Lytechinus pictus: one gene and its partner. The protein of the gene in region 1 purifies or fractionates together with the protein of each later gene. This does not show direct contact. Links are inferred from orthologs where the notes say so. Each region holds a gene or a part of one and is shown in the gene's direction. Other genes may lie near its edges.

Evidence for each region.
Region 2: the proteins of serine/threonine-protein phosphatase 6 catalytic subunit (region 1) and mitogen-activated protein kinase kinase kinase 7-like purify together in Homo sapiens (affinity purification with western blotting; 3 studies listed by BioGRID and IntAct, with this or other methods). This does not show direct contact. The link is inferred for Lytechinus pictus from reciprocal best matches to the Homo sapiens genes PPP6C and MAP3K7.

What each region holds. Positions count from the first base shown.
Region 1 is NC_087259.1:23,572,293-23,580,536, forward strand, and holds the start of serine/threonine-protein phosphatase 6 catalytic subunit, read left to right. Parts: upstream 1-5,197; 5' UTR 5,198-5,289; intron 5,290-6,057; 5' UTR 6,058-6,120; coding exon 6,121-6,123; intron 6,124-6,600; coding exon 6,601-6,742; intron 6,743-7,646; coding exon 7,647-7,726; intron 7,727-8,244. Other genes in the region: trichohyalin-like, read right to left, coding at 535-932, 1,268-1,336, 1,704-2,190.
Region 2 is NC_087248.1:22,971,789-22,979,679, reverse strand, and holds the start of mitogen-activated protein kinase kinase kinase 7-like, read left to right. Parts: upstream 1-4,729; 5' UTR 4,730-4,827; coding exon 4,828-4,896; intron 4,897-6,808; coding exon 6,809-6,919; intron 6,920-7,466; coding exon 7,467-7,720; intron 7,721-7,891. UniProt on the Homo sapiens protein: Serine/threonine kinase which acts as an essential component of the MAP kinase signal transduction pathway. Plays an important role in the cascades of cellular responses evoked by changes in the environment.

The sequences.
Region 1 (8,244 bases):
CAAGTTGTGACTCAACTTTCTTTGGCAATATCAAATTGGTACAAAATGAGGGTTGGCAGCGGTTGATATAGATCTTATTTAAGAACAACAATAAAACATAGTCCATTCAAAAGTTATGCATAGAATAGAAGAAAAAATAAAAATGAATGTTTATATACAGATGTACAAAAGTTCCAATAGCAAGTAAATGGTTACTTGATGTAAAAAAGAACTACATAAAAACAAAGTTATATGTTTATAAAAATCTATAAGTGCTAAGAACAAAAAGTACTAACATCTACAATTTACATGTAAATTCCCTTGCCCTTGGCAATGATTCTGGCAGCACTGAGATGGATGGCTAAGTAAAAACAAGGGTTTCAGCATGGCAAGAGTACAGGTGAATGATATGCAGCAACAAGTACTGAGGAAAGAAATTGTGATGAACAAAAATCCTGAAAAGTGTCATCTCATATGACAAATACATGTTTACCACCGTGGGAATTCCAAACACACACACTCCTCCACTTGAAGAATGCATTATGTTTGTAACAATTACAGTGGAGTGTAATCGTGATTGTAGGGCCAGGAATTTGGAGACCGCTCTGGACCGGACTGGGAGTTGTTTCCCTGTTGCTGCCACATTGAAGTTGACGACTGCCGCATACCAGCCATTAAGGCCTGAAGCATTTGGAGTTGATGCTGTCTATCACGTTCTTTTTCTTGCTCTCTATGCTCCCTCTCTTCTCTTCTCCTCCTCTCCTTCTCCTCTAGTTTTTTTTCTTCAGTACGCTGTGCCTTCATTAGGAGCTCACGCTCCCACTCCATTTGGCGCTGCATGAACCGATCCTCCCTAGCATTGAAGGCATTTGTACTGTCCTCCTCCAGTGTCTTTATCTCCTTGGCTATCAGTCCGAAGGACTCCTGCAGCTTTGATTTCTTCCGCTTTTCCCCTGTTATGAAGTAGGTAGTATAAAATACATCGTAAATAAAAAAAAATCAATCAAATGTGATAGCGGTAAGAAAGGTATACAATCATTTTATTTCTTTCAACTTGTTACACACATACTTTTCTGTATTTGACATAAGGCATGCAATATCACACTTCTAATAGCTAATACAACAAATCAAGTGAGAAAACCTTGAGTTGCAAAAAAAAATCATACTGCATGAAAGCAACATCAACGGGATGTAAAAGGCCCCTTTTCTTGAAAATTTGCTGAATCGAATTCAAATATCATATGAACTATAAATAAGCAAATGTATGGAAACAATCTGTTTATATTACCAGTTGCCTTACGTCCATTAGCAGATGATGTTGAAGGTCCCTCTAGATCCTCCGGTGGAAAATTGCCAACTAAAGAAAATGAGGGATAGAAAAGCGATTACAATAAGTGACTACAATAATAAACATTTCATTTTTATGCATAAAATGAAGGGGAACTAATTTTTATGTTGTTATGTGTCACTGAAGTAAAAACATTTTAAAACAAAGGCTAACTTTCAATACATTTTTATTTTAGTAAATTCAAATCAGTTCCTTTCATATTACTCAGTATAAAATGATACATCAAGACAATATAATGATACCAATAATGTTTATTTTAAATGCTCACACTGAGAGGGTAAGAGCCAAAAAGGATTAGTCTTTATAATTACACATGTATATACAAATAAACATGTATATGTGATTACAAATGAAAAAAGGAAGAGGAATCCTTTACCCAATTCTGTTGGTGCTTCCACATCATTTTCCTCCAGTTCATCATCCGTTATACTTCTATCTTCTTCGGCTCCATCCTCCTCCTCCTCTCTCGGCAGTGAATCAGAGTCCACCGAGTCTAGCGACTCAGATTGATCCTCCTCCTCTGGTTGCGACGCCAGAATGGCAACTGGTGCAGTCTCTGGTCTGCCCCCAAAGATCTCCTGCAGTTCGCTATAGAATTTACATGTAATTCTCCCCCTGCCTGATCGATTGTTATTGTCCTCCGTCTTTCGGAAGGACGCTCTTAGTTGTTTAATTTTCCGCTTGATTTGGTCCTCTGCCCTTTCGAACCCCCTTTCTTTCATCAATTGGCATATCTTACGAAATACCGTTTTGTTCCTTACTGTGCCATCCATCTGTTCTTGAATGTTTTTCTCCCGCCAAATATTCAGGAGGCACAGCGTCTCCACATCTTCCCACAGACTCCCTCTCCCTGTTGGTGCCATTTTGATCTAAAATGAGAGAACAAATACAAATACAAATTAATAATGGTAACCACAAAGATTACGATGTGGTAAAATTATTATATAAAATTATGTGTAACATCTATTAATCACCTTTTAGGATTTTTGATCTTGTCAACAACTTCTCTTGTCAGGGGACAGTTGACATGAATATCATCAAAAATTCAAATTTAATGATTCAGATTGATCGACCACCTAGATATATGAAGGCCCTTCTCCCCCTGCTATGTAACATTTGATGATCGATGGACAAATTATTCCGCTAAAGTTCCATATGTACCCATCACTAAAATTGAATAAAACAATTGAAAAATATGGGTATGACTTAGAATGACATAACTAATATAAATAAAGTATACAAAATATGGGAAATCACTTTCTAAAATAACTATCTAGAAATCCATATAGTATACAAAATATGGGAAATAATATTCTAAAAATCTATCAAGTCCATCAAGATAAACTCCTACAGCTCGGCAACTAACACGTGGCCAGCCGCTGATCTCTGAATACCGGTGGAAGAAGAACTTATTCATACTTTATTTACAAGTTTCTTTTGTTATCATATCACGTGTTAATCTGTTAATGTATACAATTTTTAATACAATTTGCTTCTAGTGATAATTTTAGAGACGGTTTAATGATCATTTAGAGATGGTAGGCCTAGAGTGTTAATTATAGAGACAGTTAATACTATAATAGTAAGGTACGCAGAGTCTGTTACAGCTAGGGTTAGGGTTCGCAGACCCCGGCGTCCATCCTAGAGTACGCGGCCTCCTGATGACTTTGGTTGGTTAGGGATAGGACTTCGAAGTTAGAGTTGTGTATATTATTGTACTGTAATCTGTATTAACATTGTTTTATGCACTCACCGCTAGAATCTACTTATTTTAGTCTACTTCTTTTTTGTGGGGATTTTACAGGCAGACACTATTTTATATGTAGATCTAGACCCTACTCATTTGTTTCAATGTCTAGCGACATATTTCATGTCCAATTTCTGACTATGTGCGACTCCGACTGAGTGGATTATTGGCATTTGAAATAATTAATGGCAATTGTCTAGTTTCATGTCTCATGGCCTGGCCTGCCCCTGGCCATGCCTTCAAAATCAAAGTTAAATACTTCATCAAGTTCATGCCTCATGATCATGATGACTTTGTTTGAGGCATAAGATGATGTATTAACTCTGACAGTCTGACTCCGAGTCTGATGATGATGAGTCATAATTTCATAATCATATGAGAAAAATTATGACGGCTCATGATGTATGGCACTCCTGTCCAGGCTATTGTTTTTAGTCTGTCTATTAGTATTGATAAATTATCATCGCCAACAAAAAAATAATGATCATTCTTCAGATGGTGCAATCACAGTAGCGATGTATTTAAAAACATCGAAATAAACAGGAAATGATCAGACGATCGAAAATCATAATTCCCAAACCCACAGAAATATAGGGATGGGACTGAATTACAAGTCACCATCACTCATCAGTTCTGTTCGGAGAAAATACCAGGAATAAACGGTTTAAACTTTTAGCCCACCAGTACAGAATATGTCGTGTCTTAGTGCAGGCTGCTGGATATGAGGAAATTAAAATTTAAAGCAATAAATGATGAAAAACAATGTAATTTTACGCTCGGGGCGAGGCTTACCTATAATATATACTGCATGCCTGGTCCAAATGGCAAAAGCGCGCCCGGCCGATGCATTGTTGATGATGACAGGTCGCGTCACTTCCGCTTATAAGCCGGCGCCGAGTCCACTTTGGTGTTACACCTACCGATTGCGGGACTGAGTCCGGACTCGGGCCGGCCTCAAACCACATCCAGAGGTGGACTGAGTCCACCTGGCCTCAGTCCGGCCTCAGTCCGGCTTTTCAAAAAAAGTTGATGTTACACATACGTCGAGCCGCCTCCGGGGCCGGCCTCAGTCCACTTGCAAACGTATGTGTAACAGGGGTCTTATATTAACCATGATTTAGCAATATGTAATCGCCAAGTTATGTTCACCTATCACTTTTTATAGGCCCGTCCTAGACGGAACGTATATCACGCTCAATGTCCGTCCGTTAACTTTTTCTTGTAAACGCGATAACTTTAGTTTGACTTAACCTAGGCTCATATAATTTGGTGTATTATCATTATGATATATAGCATTGATCCCAGGAAGCCTATTGATTTTGAGGTGCAAAGGTCAAGGTTACAGTGACATATTTTCATCTTAACCTTCTGCAGTCCTTGTAAAGGAGATTACTTCAATTTTACTTAATCTAGGCTCATATAATTTGATGTGTATGTAACTAGCATGTAATTGTATCCCAGGAAGCCAATTGATTTTGAGGTCAAAAGGTCAAGGTCACACTGTCATGTTTTCATCTTACCCTTCTGAAGTCCTTAAGGTGATATTTAGTTTAACTTATTCTAGGCTCATATAATTTGGTGTGTATGATACTAGCCTAGATCCTAGGAAACCTATTAATTTTGAGGACAAAAATCAAGGTCACACCGACATGTTTTCATCTTTAATACCCTTCTAAAATCCTTCTAAACGCGATAACTTTAATTTAACCAAGGCTCATATAATTTGGTGTGTATGATACTAGCATGGATCCCAGGAAGCCTATCGATTTTGAGGTCAAAAGGTCAAAGGTCAAGTCGCCACCTTCCACTTTTCTTGCTTGACCAATAACTCCATTTTCCATTTTACAGACGGGCGTATTATGTGCTCGCCTTAAGTAGCGACACTCGTTTTCAGCTAAGACAAAAGGGGGAGGGGTGGTGAGATATTTGTTTTATAGGATGATATTTTTACAACCTTTCTACCTTGGACCCTTGTGAATCGGATGGGAATAATGGCAATAGCCATGTCTTTGTAATTTTTAAGAAAAATTGCTTTTCCTTGACCATGGGTACTTTTCTAAATCCCTGATTCTGCATTTGGTGTTTCAATCAAATTATTTCTCCACTTTTTGTTCCCCAGAAATTGTGTGATGTGGTATGTGACCTGCAGTTAGAGGAATGCAACGTTCAACCGGTATCAACTCCAGTTACAGTGTGTGGGGATATACATGGACAGGTAAATTTCTTGGGTATATTGCATTCACAACAACAAAAGTGACTCCAATTGACCAATGTTATGATATCCATATTTTTTTTCTTATTCGAAATAGAAATCTGAGAATTTAAAATAACATACAAGTAAATTTCATTGGTCTGTGGTCGGTTTTGTTGATGTAACTGTTACATTAGATTTTCAATTAGATGATAGCTCCTTGTTGGTCATACTTTTTCCCTATCCTTTTTTTTAATCTTTTCCTTTTCTTTCCGTCCCGTAATCTTTTCTGGTCTTTACCTTCCCTGTGTCCTTCTTTTCTTCCTTTCTGTCTACCTCATCATCTCCTTTCTCCTTGCCCCTTTCTTTTTCTGCTCATCCTTTCATCAGTCCTCCTCCTCCCCATTATCCTTCTTCCCCTCTTTCGCTTCTATTCTTCACCCTTCTCCTTCATCTTCCATCCTTGCTTGCACCATCCCATCTTCATTTCCCCCCCCCCCCCCACCACATCGCATAAAATCACTTTTAGCCCTTTACTGTATGTCCAGATATTAGAGTCATCATAACTGTGTTCTCAATGATGCTAAGAAGTAAGGATTTTTTTGTTTGCATGTATACATATCATAATTATTTTGGGAGTATTCCATTTAACATTTGCTTTTCATCTTTTTCAGACAAATCCAATTTATCGTGTCTCATAATTTTTACCTAGACACCATTTGTTTTACCATATTTCATTTAGTAAGTACTTGTTCATGTATTTTTATTAATATTCTTTTCCCCATTTCACAGTTTTATGACTTGGAAGAGCTTTTCAGGACTGGTGGTCAGATCCCAGATACAAGTTATATTTTCATGGTAAGAAATTCTTTTTTTATCACTTGATTGGGGGAAACTTATCAAGACATCACTGAGCTTTATGTTATGTGGACCCGATCTCGTTATTGATCAAAGTGCATACAACAACCCCCCCCAAAAAAAAAAAAAAAAAATTAATTTCAAGATGAAAACAAAGGTTAAAAAATCATTGTTATGAAGATTTTGATAGTTTGAAAAAAAATTAGGTAAAAAAAAAGGTAAAAGATAGGTAATGGCAATTTTATGGCTATTCAAGAAAGTCATTAAATTCCATCTATTTTGCTAATGAGGACAATGAATTGCATGGACTAATCTGACCATTCTGAGGTGTTGAATTATTATTTGACTAGCCCAAACTTGGAGTTGTGTGTCTGCAGTGCTTTGCAACCAAAAGGAAATGTGATATTTCTAATGACCATTGGATTGGATAGGACTTTTACTTTGTTTGATAAATCCCATCCATTCTTTCCCTTCCAGGGTGACTTTGTAGACCGAGGTTATTACAGCTTAGAGACATTCACTAGGTTACTCACACTAAAAGCAAAATGGCCAGACCGTATTGTTCTGTTGAGAGGGAATCATGAAAGCAGACAAATTACACAAGTCTATGGATTCTATGGTAAGCCATCTTTATTCCAGAGCCTGCCAACCATTATAAAAACAAAATGTATTTATGAAAATTTGACAGGAATAAGAAGGGGTATAACAAATTATGAATTTGTAGTTGAAAGAGAAAGAAGTATCAAAAAGAGAAGGCAAAGTTGTCAGTGTCATAGAAATACATGTATTGTCATATATTAACATGTACGCAAGGGCTGAACAGAAGACATACATTTATTTCAATGAGTTAGTTTTGGATGGAGTGCTTGCTATAGCAGAGGTTGTAATTCCTGGGCCTCGTCTTACAAGAGTTGCGATTGATCCGATCAACCACAACTATGGAAAGCCAGCAACGCCCATATCTAAAATGCATGTTTGTTCAAAATATTTTCTAGATACGATACATACCCTTTAATACATTCATCTTAGTCTTGACAATTTGTTATGCTTTCTCTTTGTTAACAAAGGACATTGTGCAAATTTCTGATAGGAAAAATTATGACAATGATGGATTTCCATATAGTTGAGGTTGATCGAATCAATCGCAACTCTGTAAGACGGGGCCCAGGTGCAAATCTCGCCGGATTAGACAACATAGTTTTGAGAGGCAGACTACTGTACAAAAACAATATGGCCCTTGAAATGGTGTTGTGTTTAATCCGGCTGCATCTTTGCCTGGTAGTCCTATACCTCCCTGCAAGTATCGGCAGAGGGTGACAGTTGAATGACAATTAAAAGTAGGGTTGATTGAAAAAATACACATTTTCATGGAGAAATAATGGATTAATTAGACCAACTGGTGTTAGACCAACTATTATTAGACCAAGGAGCCGTTAGCCCTTGTAGCTTCTAATTTATTTGTAGTGAAACATGACCAATGACATGTGAAAACTCTAAACTGCTCCCTTTTTTTTCATTTTCAGATGAATGTCAGACGAAATATGGAAATGCTAATGCATGGAGGTACTGCACCAAAGTCTTTGATCTTCTCACAATCGCTGCAGTAAGTTTCAAGTGAAGAAAATTGTTTTATTGTTGATGAGGTTGCCAAATGTGATGATGTGAATATATTATTAAATTGAAGAGATGATTTTTAGTGGGAGAGAGGGGATTTGAAGATAGGGTGACTTTTGCAGTTGGAATGAAACTTACTGCATTAATTGTTGTCAAGAGACAAAATGGTGCATGAAGACAAGAAACAAACGTGAATTGAAGTTTTATATGTATGTAGTATATTTTTGAGAAGATGTAAATTCCTGTAGAACAAAAGACATCTTTATAAAATGCAACATAAAAAATTGTACATTTTGTTTACGTTGCCAATGTGAGGATCTCCAAAGCATTTAGTGATCTTAAGTTCTCAATATTCAAATCCTTTATAACTTTGTGATTAATTTAATCTTTCTTAATCATCCATTGATCTGTTTTTTCAATTTTCAAGTATTAAGTTTTGGATGCAATTCATCTGGTTTCAAGAGTGTAATTCCATAAATTTAAATTTCTAATTGTTTATTGCTCCTT
Region 2 (7,891 bases), on another chromosome or scaffold:
GCCCCCCCCCCCTCTTCCACTTTATTGAACCGTTCCGCGGCCCCTGAATACCTGTTTGAGTATCAGGTATACATATTTGCAGATGATACACAAATCTTTGATACCAGTATTTCTATCCAAATCAACTAAGTGGTCCAAAAGATGGAAATGTTGGAAATTTAAATGTAAGGTGGTTCATATATATGGGAAAGAACTTCAAGAAGAACCACACAATGAATGGAGTCGGACAGGCCAAAGACCTTCGGAGTAATTATTGATAAGGAAATAGATTTCCACCAGAATGTGGCAAATCCAGATTCAAGCAAATGAAATTGAAGGAATGATAAAGAGAACATTTCGGAAAATATCAAAGGATATGCTTCCCATTTTGTCCACCATACTTGTACGACCTCATCTTGAATATGATAACATTGAACTGTGGCATTCATAAATTGGACTAAGATAAAGTAGAAAAGGTGCAACCAGGGGTGCAACACGAAGAGCAACAAAAAGCTTCACTGAGTTCTACGATCGAGAGCTAAATTATGAAGAACGTTTGAAAGCACTCAATCTACAAAAGAGGTGATATGACTGCAGTCTTCAAAATTCTGACGGGTCGACTTGAAATTCTGCCGGAAATATTTTTTTACACAGTAAAAAAAAGATTATACAACGCTGTTTACTATATGAACCTTACAGTAATTGTTTAAACAGTTTAAACAACTGTTTAAATTTTAAGCAACAAAGTTTAATTTTCAATATCTTATTTTCAATAAATTAAACATGATTGTTTAAACGGTTAAACAAATACTGTATATAAGGTTCATATAGTAAACAGCGTTGCATAAAATCTTAAACAGCGTTTTTACTGTGTACAGTGCAGAGTAACCAGAGGACACAATCAAAACTCTTCATGAAAAAGATCAAGACTGGATGTTAGGAGTAATGTTTTACTCCATGAGTTGTAAGAGATTGGAGCAATCTACCTCGAGAAATTGTAGAGGCAAAGTGATTTTTAAATGTTTAAAAAATCGGATTGACGAATTTGATGGAATGGGTTATTTAAATACCACTAATTCAAGATGCACAGTCAAGTTTAAATTAGCCATAGAAGGATACATTCTAAAAATCAAGGATTTAAAATAAATCCAGATCGGCTGTGGATAGTGACCAGCCGAATGTTGGATTTATTTTGAATCTTTAGGATTAACTTACTAATCTCAAAGGATTTAAATTCAAATATTTTAGATTTATATTTCAGTGTACAAGGTTTGAAACTAAATCTAATATTCGGCTGGTCACTATTCACAGCCGATCTGGATTTATTTAAAATCCTTAATTGATTTTAGAGTATAGTAGCAATCAACATCGATATCAAACGTTAAAGGAGAAATCTACACTGTAAAAAAAAATTAGTAGAAATTACTTAATAAAATTGTGGCAAAAAATTGCCTTAATTTTTTCAAGTATTTATGACTTTGGCAGTTTTAAGTAAAATTTACTTATTTTCTTTGCTTCCATTTTACTCAAGAAAATTAAGTTACAATAACTTAATTCAATTAAGTAAAACAATCACTAAAATATTTGAAAATATCAAATGGGGGAGTGGATGGACTTTCGTGATTCGAAAGTCCGCTCCCCCATCGTCCCACTTTTGGTGGCATCATTTTCATTTTATACATGTTTTATCCAAATATTAAACTTTGTGAATTGTCACTTACCTGTACATGTATAGGTACTGACATTGATATTTATACGCGATCGTTTCATTCTTACAAATAAAACAGTGAGAATAATTTTCTGCTAAATGACTATTTAATGTTGCCTTTTCTTTGATTCAACAAAAGAATACAATAGTTAGCACACCCTTATCCAAAACAATTTCAAACACAAATAGAAATGACAGTTATTAAAAAAAAAACATTTACTTGCTCTAATGAATATTCATGCATTATTTAAATATGGCGTTAATTGAAAATATAAGTACATTCAACATTATTTTATAAGTAATAATCATCTTTGCCTAATTGAGTTAGATTTACTCAATCAAAGCAAGCTATCAATACGCGAATTTTCTTAAATGTATATTGAACCCAAATAAATCAAGTAAATCAAGTAAATTAAAAGACAAGTTGAAACTACTTAAAAACAACGAAAAATAATTACAAATTGTAAATTCTACTTAAATACATTAAGTGTTAACTACTGATTCAATGTTTTTTTTTTACAGTGTAGGGCCCTGGGCACGATTTTGTAGTAGGGTCGCTGATGTAAATTTGACAAGCAAAAATAAAAGAGGGAGGGGTTCACAACAAATTGAAGGCCATTTTGATCCCGAGAAGTTTGACAAGAAAAAAAGAAGATAAAAGAAAAAAGGTTCCACTACAAAATATAAGTAATTTTGGTTACATTTGTCAATTTTTTAACACCTACCAGAACTCCAAGGGGTGCTGCCTAGCGCCTGTAATATACGCAGCACCCCCAAGGAAAATCGCGGTCCGGGTGCAGAAATCAGCACCCCCGCTTCCCAGGGCCATGGAGAAATCCTATTCATCCGTACTATCCTAATGTGATGTGATTGTATTTCTCTTTCAGATCGGAATAAGGAATTGAAGCAGCCTCTGTGATAATTTTTATTTCTTTGCAAACGCAGCCATGAAAATGAAACATATCCGCATTACAAGGTTTTAAAGTAGGCCTATAACAAACAGGTGCGTCGTCACCGTCCCATTGGTTACCGCGCTCTGATTGGATAAAAGTTTTTACTCCTCGTCGGTGCCATTGTGACGTCACAATCTAAAAGTTCGTTAAGTGTGACATCACAATGGCACCTGCGCGGAATAAAACTTTTATCCAATCAGGGCGCGGTATAACCAACTGAATGGTGAAGGCGCACCTGTACCTGCATAATAATGGTGAAAGTAGGTCACACCGGACCGGACCATGCATGATGCAATTTGTTTTTATGGCATTTTATGCAATCATATTGTTGTCCTGTTAACTGTTTTGTGGAAAATAAACGAAAATTTAAAATGTCATAACTTTCTTATTTTTCATCCAATTTTGATGAAATTTTCAATATTATGCTTGTTTGATTTTTCTCTATTATTTCAAATCAACATTTTTCTGGGGTGGACTTGACCTTTAACATACTTTACATGGAAAAATCGTATAATCGTGATGATAATGCAATTATAAAATCTGGAAAACAATTGAAAAAAAAGTAGGCCCTATTCATAATTTATGAATGAGTGCGGAGGCAATTACAAATGCAATTATTGGTGCTGCCACCTTCACAAAAACTGGAAACTGAATATATGATATTGTGGAGTATAATCATGATGTCATGAATACTGAATACCAGATTGAGCATAAAAGGGGGAAATACACATTTTAACACAATGACACAAAGATAATTACTCCAAAAAACGAAAGGCGAAAGAGAAAAGAAAATTTGGTCAAACATTATTAGAATATTTACTGAGAAGTTGGGTTTTGATCTCCTTTTAAAAACATTTAATGATAGATTTAACATAAAGTGGTATTTTGTTCCAGATAATATTGGTCCTTTGTAAAACATACAATTCTTTGCTAAAGAGGTGATATTTTGGGTAGGTGGAAGTTTGAAGATCCCCTAGATCGTCTAAAAATATAATACAGAAATTACACACAAAAAGGAATGCTTTCGAAAGAACAGCTTGTTTATGCAATAAATAACTCGACATCGAGATATAAATTTTATTCAGTGTTGCAAATTGATAAGTTTCAATAATACGACTCGGGTCAAACTCTTTATTTATGCCTATACACCATTGAAATTTTAAACAATCATACCCCTTTTGGGAAAGTGTATGAAAAATGAAAAAAAAAAAAAAAATCACGTACATAACCGGGACAAGACCCCCCACAAAAAAGAAAGAAAAAAAAAAAAATAGATAAATAGATAAATAAATGAATAAATGAATAAATGAATAAATGAATAAATGAATAAATGAATAAATGAATAAATAAAAATAAACAAAATAAATAAATAAATCAAATACAAACAAAACAGGAAGCCCGAATCATGGAAAGCGAAGATCGAAGAGAAGGTGGGAGGGGGAGAACTGAAGAGGAAAAAAAGAGGAGTGGGAGAGGGGCCGAGGGGGGGGGGGGGGTGGGCTGGAGAGAGGAGGAGGAGCCTGCTGATTGGTAGAAACGTACGTTGGAGATTCGAGGTTAGGGCTGTATGGATAAGATTTCTCTACTGAAACTACTGAAACTACTTTTTTAATGTTATTATTACGCACTATTTAAAGAGAGAGAACTCAGAGATCCGTATTTTGCACCGAAAATAATTTGACAGATTGCATTTTTTTGTCTAGTTATTTGTTTGATTGTTTCGTGTTTTGTTCCACTGAAGCCCGAGAAGATTGGTCTTTTTTGTCTTGCGTTGTGTTAACGAGAATATTTGGTGTTTGTTTGGACTTTGGAGGAAGCCGGGGAGGAAGGGGCGGGGGGTCTGAGTGAAAAAAAATTCAAACAAATTTGTAGTTCGTAATTAAAAAGAAATCAATAGAATAGAGTTTTGTGATGCATTTTCAATTCATTTTTTTTTATTTGGGGGGGGGGGGTCTCAAAGGAAGGTAAAATGTTGCAAATATTTTTGGCTTTTTAAGTTGTATTTTAGATCAAACTGATCCGTAACATTATTGTAAATCATTGACATTGATTGTCGATTGATCGCCAGCGCACCAGCGCCCTTCAAATGGGGAATTCCCTTTTGTGAATTATCTCGGTGCGGCGAAACAGATGTCGTATCGGGATGAAACCTTTTATTTCTCCAGAATAAAGTAGCATTTAACAAAAATGGCGCGCCTGGAATCCCAGATGAGCTTCAAGGAGGAAGTTGATTTCAACGATTTAGAATTTGAGAGGGTAAGACCTTTGCATTAATTGTTTTTTTTGTGTGTTGGGTGGGGACACCAGACAGACTGCATTGCAGTGGAGTGCATTGTAAAGTTTACATGTAGTCCGGTACGTTTTTATTTGTGCTGTGTTGTGTATTTGTGCGGTGTACATGTATGGTAGTGGATCGTATTACCGAACACTTCATGAATTTGATCATATCAAACACATTATTCCAATAAAATTCACCAAACTTTCACCATAAATACACAAATACCTACAAGATATAAATATGCAGAAATTTTGCCGAAATTGTTTTTCATTTTTACGACATCAGCTTCCAATCGGACCTCTCTCCGGCTCCGCAAGTGAAATATTTTGGTCACTTGAAAAAGGTATCGTATTACCGAACGTGTGTTTTCTATGGGAAAAGTTGGGAAAACAACAAAGTCACTGATGAGCTATTTTGACCATATATTATTGTTTTGAGGATATAAAGACTTCGAAATTGTGTTTTTGATCATTTTCCATCATTTTTCTATTCAAGTTCCCTTTTGAAGGATGTTGTAAAGGTTTGAGCGTATTTGATTATTTTCTGACGCATATGATGCGCGCGTTCGGTAATACAAGGCCGGTCGGTAATACAATCACTCACTATATGATGCAGAAGCAGGGAATAGATATTGCCTATTAGGCTATTACTCAAAGTTTTTTAATGCTGAGCTCCCAGCTATTAAAGTTAAATAATGGTCCTGGATGGGTTCAAGAAATGTTGGGGGTAACAGTTTGTATTGTTATATAAGACAAGTCCACCCCAACAGATTATTTTGATAAAATTAAAAGAGAAAATTCAAACATACAACTTAAATAATGAACAAGTGCAAGCATAAGACATAACACTGAGAATTTCATCAAAATTGGATGTAAAATAAGAAAGTTATGACATTTTAAAGTTTCGCTTAAAGGGATCGTTTAACTTTGTGAGCAGCTGATTTAAAAAATTCTCAAACTGAGTTGAAACGTGCGTATGAGTGCCATTATTTGTCCTCAAAAACCCTGAAACAGACCACAATATAGGATGAAAAACTCTAATTTAGATACAAGTAGCAATTTATTAGCCTGATTTTGAGAACCGTCTAGTAGACGGGTTCAGCTTATGACCAGTTTTCTCCAATTCAAAAAGTCCGTTGGCTATTTTGACTGCCTTCTGTTGTGTGTATCTCCTATACACACACTATTAGCTGCACTGTACATTCAGTGTATACCTTGTACACACTGTATGTAGGTCATGCTGTGTTCATCTAGAATTAATGTGTTGTGCACAGATTCCCTGTATACACATAGTCATTGAAACCAACTCCCAATTATTTCAAACTTTGGTTTACATCTCCAAGGTTTTAAAATTGATCCTGTAAATATAATACTTTGAAACTTTTGGGTTAGTATTTTTACACTATAAGCCTCATGTCTAGCCCATTTTCAGGAACCAAAAGGATAATTTTTCAAATCGGAACAAAGTGAAATGATCACTTTAATTTCACAAAACAGTTTATTATAGGCACATCCTGGACGGTATGCAAATGAGGAGACTGATGTCATCATCCACTCGCTATTTCTTTTGTATTTTATTATAATGAAATATGGTATATTTTTCTAGACCCCTATTCTAATTTTCTCCCCATTGTCCTGTGAAAGAAAGTTTTATTCATCCTTGAACATGTGAATTTACCATTGTTTTAAGGTTTTATGGGTCAGTGAAGTTGGTACTTATTGTCGAACCTGTAAAAAATGAAATATGGAATAATTCAGACAATAAAAAATACAAAAGAAATAGTGAGTGGGAACATCATTGTCTTTCTCATTTCCATATCACTGTCTCTAAATGAAATTTGTTAGGTCGAGCATTCATTATATATAATTGGACTTTGTTTTGTACATGTAGGTCGTAGGCAAAGGAGCGTTTGGAGTAGTAAGTAAAGCAAAATGGCGATCTATGAATGTGGCTGTCAAGATGATCGAATCAGAAGAGGAGATCAAAGCCTTCAGAGTCGAGGTAAGTCGTATATCTTTTTACTTTTTGAAGGCCCCCAAAACAGTTCCATGACCAAGATATAAACTAGGGAAAAAAGGACAGGAAATAGGTGAAATATATTGTCAAAGTCTAACAAAATTAGCTACTCGTATTAAAAATGCTGTAATTTTTTTTGTTCCTCACTTGCAACTTATTAAACAAATTTTCTGCCACCTTAAAATATTTGGCTCAATATGCCACTGTTTTTTATGATGGTGGTGGTGATGATGATGATAATGGTGATGATGATGGTGATGATGATGGTAATGATGATGATGAAAATGGTAATTGACTAATGGTTATGATGATGATGATGATGCTGATGATGGTGATAAGGATGATGATGATGGTTGTGATGGTGGTGATGATAACGGTGATGTTGATGATGATGATAATGCTGCTGCTGATGCAAAAAAAAAAGTTGAGAACATACGATTTTAGGATGAAGAAGACAATATTTATAATGTTGATGCCGAATAATGGCAATAATGATGATGCACATCTCACTGAAAAAAAATCTAAATTTCAGGTCAGGCAGCTTTCCCGAGTGGACCATCCAAACATCGTCAAGCTCTACGGGGCGTGCACCACCCGCCCCGTCTGCCTGGTGATGGAGTATGCCGAGGGCGGGTCGCTGTACAATGTCCTTCACAGCAGCCAGCCGCAGCCCATCTACAAGGCTGCCCACGCCATGAGCTGGGCCTTGCAGTGTGCCAAGGGGGTCGACTACCTTCACTGTATGACGCCAAAGAAGTTAATACACAGGGATTTAAAACCAGCAAAGTAAGTAAAGTGTCAATAATAATAATAATGATAATAATTTACCCAGGGTAGCCACTCTCAGTTGTAAGCTGTTCTTCCAGCTGGCCCTGCATAATTATTGTTATTATTACCCTTCTCCATTCTCATACGTCGAGCGCCTGACAAGAAGGCATAAGGTCCCATTTTTAAAGT